2 linked regions of the Xenopus tropicalis genome follow. The protein of the gene in region 1 purifies or fractionates together with the protein of each later gene. This does not show direct contact. Links are inferred from orthologs where the notes say so. Each region holds a gene or a part of one and is shown in the gene's direction. Other genes may lie near its edges.

What was found.
Region 2: the proteins of rad18 (region 1) and slf1 purify together in Homo sapiens (affinity purification with mass spectrometry; 4 studies listed by BioGRID and IntAct, with this or other methods). This does not show direct contact. The link is inferred for Xenopus tropicalis from reciprocal best matches to the Homo sapiens genes RAD18 and SLF1.

What each region holds. Positions count from the first base shown.
Region 1 is NC_030680.2:131,548,779-131,552,620, reverse strand, and holds the start of rad18 (E3 ubiquitin-protein ligase RAD18), read left to right. Parts: upstream 1-890; 5' UTR 891-1,013; coding exon 1,014-1,067; intron 1,068-3,842. UniProt on the Homo sapiens protein: E3 ubiquitin-protein ligase involved in postreplication repair of UV-damaged DNA. Postreplication repair functions in gap-filling of a daughter strand on replication of damaged DNA.
Region 2 is NC_030677.2:177,668,685-177,672,509, reverse strand, and holds part of slf1 (SMC5-SMC6 complex localization factor protein 1), read left to right. Parts: intron 1-1,262; coding exon 1,263-1,376; intron 1,377-2,241; coding exon 2,242-2,317; intron 2,318-2,430; coding exon 2,431-2,674; intron 2,675-3,825. UniProt on the Homo sapiens protein: Plays a role in the DNA damage response (DDR) pathway by regulating postreplication repair of UV-damaged DNA and genomic stability maintenance.

The sequences.
Region 1 (3,842 bases):
AATAGTTCCATGAATGTCCCGCATTGCTCCTTCTGCGGCTTCGTTATGCCTCTCCTTGTGCAGCGCGACAGGCCCTTTTATAAGGTTGCGCCTGTGGGTGTGACGTCATTACGCACGGGGCGCAACCTTATAAAAGGGCCTGTCGCGCTGCACAAGGAGAAGCATAACGAAGCCGCAGACGAAGGCTGCGCCTATGGGAGGTACTGTGAATGGGGGGCTACTGTGATAAGGGGACACTGTGTATTGGGGGTACTGTGTATTAGGGGCTACTGTTTATAGGGGCACTGTGTATTGGGGGTTACTGTGTATAGGGGGCTACTGTGTATAGGGGGCTACTTTGTATAGGGGGCACTGTGTATGGGGGCACTGTGTATGGGAGACTACTGTGTATTGGGGGGTACTGTGTATGGGGGGCTACTGTGTATGGGGGGGCTACTGTGTATGGGGGTACTGTGTATGGGGGGGCAAAACTGGTACTTAGTTATAACTCACTTATAACTGACTGCCTTCTCTCTATACTTGTATTTTAATGTAGGAGTTGCTATATTGTTTTCCTTAGGTCGTTCAGTATGAGGGTATAGCACATTTTCGTCTGCGCCCGCCATTTGATCTATATAAAAGGGGTATTTTTTTAAAATGGAGTGTGGTAATTGGGGCGTGGCCACAAAAGGGGGCGTGATCAAAAAATTGCCTTGCTGCGCGCGCCAAATCTTTTTGTCCCTCTTTTCATTTTTCAAATGTTGGGAGGCATGCTACTGCTGTATCACATCGTATATTTCTTTGGATTTGGGGGACCTTTAAAAATGTTAAGATTTTATTGCAGGACACAGGGCGAATTCGCCTGCTTTAAGCCCATCCACACACCGCTTTGGCATATACCTTAGTGCTGTAGTTCCTCCTACAACTAGCTTGAACTACCTTTCCCGACATGCTTTGCGCACGATCACGTGACGTTGAGAGCAGCGCGGGAAATTTGGGGTAGCTCGGGTTTGGGTCGCTGTAATTCGGCTTCCATGGCAACCACACCAGAACCGGGATCTAAGGCAAAGGGCAAACAACCCGTGCAGGTAAGGTACTAGTGGCCAGTGCCGCGTACTGATAGGGTTTGTCAGTCATTGTGCCTCACAGGAAGTCCCGCCTGCCTGCACTCAGCGGCTTCTGTACAGCTGCCCTGGCTGCAGCATGTATATATACTGTACTGTGTAACCCTGAGTTATTATATGTATTGTATATACGAACTAGGAGTGCAGAGAATGCACACAGATATTGCTTTTAAAACCAATCACAAATAACTCTAAAGCCAATTGGATGGAGGTGTATTGGAAAGTTGTATACAATCTGGAGTGGAGTTTCCCTTTAGCAACAGTTGTCAGGCAGCAGTGTGGCATCCCTAATGTATTTGCACTTGTCCCCTTCAATGCCCCCCACTTCCTTCCCTCTGGCACAGTGATTTATATGGCCGCCCAGCTGCTACACAACATGTTTATGTTTCCTGGGGGGGGGGGAGTCATTGTTGGGAGGCGCAGATTTATTATTTCTGTAGCTCCATTTGGCCTCCTAGTGCAAGGCAACTGCAAATCACAGTAGGAAAGGGGACATAAACCGATAAATACAATCATGCCTAAGGAAAGAAAGAAAATTCGAAGCAACTTTGCGATATATTGCTTAAAGGGAAACGAAAGGCAAAATCACTTGGGGGTGCCAAAATGTTAGGCACCCCCAAGTGACTTTAACTGCTTACCTCATACCCCGGGCTGGTGCCCCTGTTAGGAGAAAACAGCACCAGCCCGGGGCACCTGTAGCTCATCGCTTCCTTCTTCCGGCTTCCGGCTTCCGTTGCTGGAATGCCAGCGGTGGGCGCATGCGCAGTAGAGTGAAAAGCCGTTAAGGGTTAAGTTCGGCTTTTTACTCTACTGCGCATGCGCGCGCAGCGAATCAGGAAGAAGCAAGCGCCGGCAGCTACCCCGGGCTGGTGCTGTTCTCTTCTCACAGGGGCACCAGGTAGGTGGTCAAAGTCACTTGGGGGTGCCTAACATTTTGGCACCCCCAAGTGACTTTGACTTTCTTTTTCCTTTAAAGGAACAGTAACACCAAAAAATGAAAGAGCTTTCAAGTAATAAAAATATAATGCACTGTTGCCCTGCACTGGTAAAACTGGGGTGTTTGCTACAGTAACACTACTATAGTTTATATAATAAGCTGCTGTGTAGCCACGGGGGCAGCCATTCAAGCTGGAAAAAAGGAGAAAAGGCACAGGCACATAGCAGATAACAGATAAGCTCTGTAGGATACAATAGTTTTATCTGTTATCTGCTATGTGCCTGTACCTTTTCTCCTTTGAATGGCTGCCCCCATGGCTACATAGCAGCTTATTTATATAAATTATAGTAGACTTTCTGAGGTAAACACACAACTTTTACCAGTGCAGGGCAGCAGCACATTATATTTTAGTTACTTTTATACACTTTCATTTTTTGGTGTTACTGTTCCTTTAACATTGTACGCAGTGTCGGTCTGTCCTGTTCTGAGTTTTTGATTCTCACATTAAACAATGTAACAGAATTTGGCTCTACCACAGTCAAGGCCTATTAAAGGGCACCTGTCACAAACATTTTGTTTCCCCCACCAGAGATGAATGCTAACAGAGCCCACATCTAGATGAGGAAAACGGTAGTATTTTTTGAAGGATAGTTCCCCCACTGTGGTGCTGTCAAGCCATGCTGGAGTGCAGCAAACAACATATTGAGCGAGTTTCCTGGCTTACTAAATATGTGCTTGGCTATGATTTTTGATCAGTCGACATGAATATTGTCTAGGCCTGGGCACTCTGCCCGTGTGTACACTATGCCCGTGTGTGCCTTAGTATGGCCTCCTGCACCGAAAATTGGTTCCTGGTGCAGGGAACGCTGCACTTAGATGCTTCTCCCTATGCATTCATGGAATGCTCAATATGCTTGTTGTACAATGCAGTGTTAAAGACAAGAGTGAACCAGGAAACTTGCTGATTGTGAAAGTTGCTCATTTTGTGCTTTGGTGTACCCTTGCCTTGCCAACTGCACTGGTAGTGGGCTCCAGGGCACAGCATTCCATGGGGGGCAAGTTCTTTAAACAGTTCTTATTTACTGTTTTGTTTTCCCACCTTGTCCACCTTTAATTATGACACCTCTGGTTTGCAGGAACAGCAATCCCAGTTTAATGGTGCTAGCAGATTGGGTAACTGGTCCGGGTGGGGTTTCAAAAATTTGAACTGTGCAGTAATGCAGGTTTTGTTGGCCTGCACCTCTGGTGGGATAAACATTTTAGTAATAGGTTGATTGGCTGGATTCTCTTACATTGTAAATGGGATTTATACTTGACAGCAGCAATGTAAAGAAATGCATCCTGGTGTTATACAGGTGGCAATTCTTTTCCATGGAGTAGTCAACAGAAATGGATCTTGGACTCAAAGGATCTAGTGTTTTCCAAGGCACTCGCTGCTTAACATAATGGTGCTGGCCATGAGCCAGTAAAGCAAATTGGGTGAAATTAAAGCTGGCAATACATTTACAGATCAAATCTTCATATGATTTTCTGTTTATGTATGGAGGCCTGCGAATCAGTTTTGGGATTGGGCAGGTGTGAAAATAAAAAAAAAAATTAAGAATAGCTGCCAGTCTTCCAATAAAAATAATATCTTTATTTGCTCAACTTAAAAATCTCACTGCCTTAATGCCTCTGTGTAAAAATATCCTCTGCCTATGTATTATGTCATGGTGCATTGTCAAATGAGGATGTAGAGAGGAGCTACAGTTCCTCTTCAATTTCTGATGTTCTATCTCTAATAATAATAATCATGCGTAAAA
Region 2 (3,825 bases), on another chromosome or scaffold:
GCTACTGACACCATCATATCAGTCACTGAGAGTATCTTCAGCTCCATGGGGGATGCAGGTAAATGTCATTGGCTTATTGTATTTTAGACAACTTGCTTCCTTTAATGCTTTTAATGCATTAGAGTGTGCTGATATTGGGGGAGAAGCATTCAGAAATAGTTATGGAATTTAGATTTTAATTACTTTCCTCCCTCAAACCGATGGGCAGTTTGAAAGGGAATACGGCACGCCAAATGCAAGGTATGATTCATTTACTACTTGCCAAAGTCACTATATCATATATAGCCAGGCAGCAAGAGGAACAAGTCAGTCACATGCAATTGTCAATTTAACTCGTATAGGTATTGGATAGGTAATACGGCGCTGCCCTTACTACTCGGACACAAGCTAGTGTGCAGGTGTGTTAAAAGAAATGGATGCCTAGGCTTATACTCGAGTCAATAAGTTTTTCCAGTTTTCTTAGGTAAAATTAGGTACCTCTGCTTATATTCGGATCGGCTTATACTCGAGTATATACGGTAATCCTTATTGGGGGCTAAACAAGCCTATTGGGTTTAAATGACATTTAAATGATTTTTTAGTAGACTTGAGGTATGGAGATCCAAATTACAGAAAGATCCCTTATATAGAAAGCCCCAGGTCCCGAGCATTCTGAATAACAGTTCCTATACCTGTATTCTGTAAAGTTGCATAGAATTACCTTTTCTTTCATTATGCAAATAAAACAGTTTTTGGGTGGGCATTTTGACTTCAATGATCTTCAAGTAAATATTAAAGCCCCTCTTTATGGACTGAGAATTTATAATTGGTTAATTTGTATGCTTGCGACAAACATTTATGCAATATTCAATCTCTTTAACTACTGGTAATTAACTGAATGTTTATCTTATTTATTTATTGTTTTATGTTATTGGCCAGCAACAGTAATTTTTTATATAATAAGGGAATGACCTGTTTTAATCTAATGAACCCCATCTCCGTAATCTGTATTTAATACATTTATACGTGTTTGATATTAAAATATGTTGTCGTTTTCTTAGTTTGATTTCAATAAATTTATTTTTTATTTCCCATGAGTCCACAGGTTTTTGGGGTGTCCGGTACCTTGGTTGTAACCCTTTGTATCATTGTTCTTGTTTGCAACTCTGACTATGTGGATACAACTGATATATATTTCAAGAACAAATTATCAACTCTGTTAGGGAAAAAAAACTGTAAATGTAAGTCTGTGTTTAATTTACAATGCGTTATTTAATTTGCAGATGGAAGTAACTTCAAGGAAACGTATTATTCAGTTCACGGGATTCAGGGACAAAGAAAAAGAATCTCTTGTTGAGCTGCTGTTTAAACTTGATTGTATATTTATTGACACTGAGGTAATCATACATTTGTATTATCATGCATGTTTTTTTGGTATGAAGGCAATGTTGCATTGATTAGAACAGACTTGCCCATCTGGCTTTCTGATGCTCGAGTGTTTGTATGACACAGCATTTCCATGTGCTATAGATCTGAGCTTTGGCTTGGCCTTTACAGAATTCTTCAGCTAGAATGTTTAGGGTAATTGCCATGTTTCAAGGTCCTCTTTTGATTGAGCTTTAATCTCCTGGCAGATGGTCTCACCCTCAGCCACACTCTGTACAAAAACCATGATTTTACAGTTTTTCATGAATCTTCGTGTACTTAAAGATGAAAAAAATAAACAACCAGGAAACTTCTTAAAGCACAAATTGGAAACAAAATTGATTCAATCTGCCTAGGACAACTCCAATTGATTTCTACATGTTTTTTACACAAAAAGTTAAAAAAAAAACAACAAATAATCGTGAAAAAAAATACAAACGTTAGTAAATGCCCCCCATAGTCTTAATGAAAGAGAAGCAGCACACTTGATTTATTTTGAAAAAGTGCCCAAAAGTGATTTATTGACTTACAGTGGCAAATATACTTATCTTTCATTAAGACCCTACCCAAAGGTTGACACCATAGATCAAACAGATTCCTAAAGTCACACAAAATGTAGAGTTGCCGCAGTTTCACCTATTATCCCTGCATCCACAATACAATGGAGACATAATTATTATAGGTTAATGTTTAATTAATAGTAATACTTGTTTAGGAAATCAATACAATAACGCATTTCTAAAAAAAACTGTACATTTCCTGTTTTGACAAGCTAATAGTTTTTCAGACAGATAGATCAATGACAGATACATATTTATCTTTTTTCTGATACTGTAGAAATTTGAAAACTGTACACATCTCATCGCAAAAAACCCATGCCGAAGTGAAAAGTGGCTTGCAGCTTGTTCAGCAGGTAACTTAATTTATAAATAGGTAATATTTTCATCGTTTTTTACCTAAAGGTTTTTTTTTTTGTTGTTGTTTTTTTTTTCTTATGTTTTGGCTCACATTTTGTTTGTTTCTCAGGGAAGTGGGTTCTGATTAAAGACTACGTAATTAACAGCGTACAGAGAGGCAGATGGCTTGACGAAACAATATATGAGTGGGGTTACAGAATTGAAAGACACTCCCCTTATTCACCCCAGATGCAATCTGCACCTAAAAGATGGCGTGAACACCTGACAAGAACTGGTGTTAAAGGGGCTTTTAGAAAATGGAAAGTGGCTATTCTTGTTGACAAGGGTCAAAAACAAAGGGAGGCATTTGAAAGGTAATGATGTTTTCTGAAATTTTGCTTTGATAAAAATACATTCCACTTCAGTGAAAATATAAAACATTTTGTCTAGCCAGTTATAAGGTCTAGTAGAAAGAGGCGTAAAGACAGCTGTACAAATGAAAGTTTCTTTGGTAAAAGTACGAATGACAGTATAATATTTTCTACTAATTACAACTACCTGAACATATATACCTATACCTACCCTGCGTTGCATGTTACTAAACTACATCTCCCATCATTCCACAAACTTCAAACAGTGGAGCAGTAATATATGTCAGCCAATCAATGATTAGCGTTTAATTACCTGTAGCCAGCTACAGGTAATTAATCAACTTGCCATGGCTTTCTGCCTAGATGCAAATTCACCAATTTTTTTATAAATGACCCCCTTCCCTCCTGTGTTTTTAGTATGATGTAGACCAGTGTTTTTCAACCTTTTTTGGGCAAAGGCACACTTGTTTCATGAAAAAAATCACAAGGCACACCACCATTAGAAAATGTTAAAAAATTTAACTCTGTGCCCAGCAGCAGTGCCCCCCTAGTACATTGGTGCCCAGCAGCAGTGCCCCCCTAGTACATTGGTGCCAAGAGCAGTGCCCCCCTAGTACATTGGTGCCCAGCAGCAGTGCCCCCCTAGTACATTGGTGCCAAGAGCAGTGCCCCGCTAGTACATTGGTGCCCAGCAGCAGTGCCCCCCAGTACATTGGTGCCAAGAGCAGTGCCCCCCTAGTACACTGGTGCCCAGCAGCAGTGCCACCCTAGTACATTGGTGCCCAGCAGCAGTGCCCCCCTAGTACATTGGTGCCAAGAGCAGTGCCCCCCTAGTACATTGGTGCCCTGCCTACGGCACACCAGGCAACATCTCGCGGCACACTAGTGTGCCGCGGAACAGTGGTTGAAAAACGCTGATGTAGACTTAGTTTGATTTAATTATATATTCAACAAGTAAAAATCTGGTTGCTAGGGTCCAATTTCCCCCAACAACCAAACAGCAGTTTGAATGAGAGACTGGATGATGAATAGGCAAGGGATGGAAATCAAACATCATTATTAAAAAGTAACATTAACAATAACATTTCCTAGGCTGTCCCTTAATCATGCTTACTACTTGCATTTAGTGCTTTTCATTGGTGCTGGAGACTCAA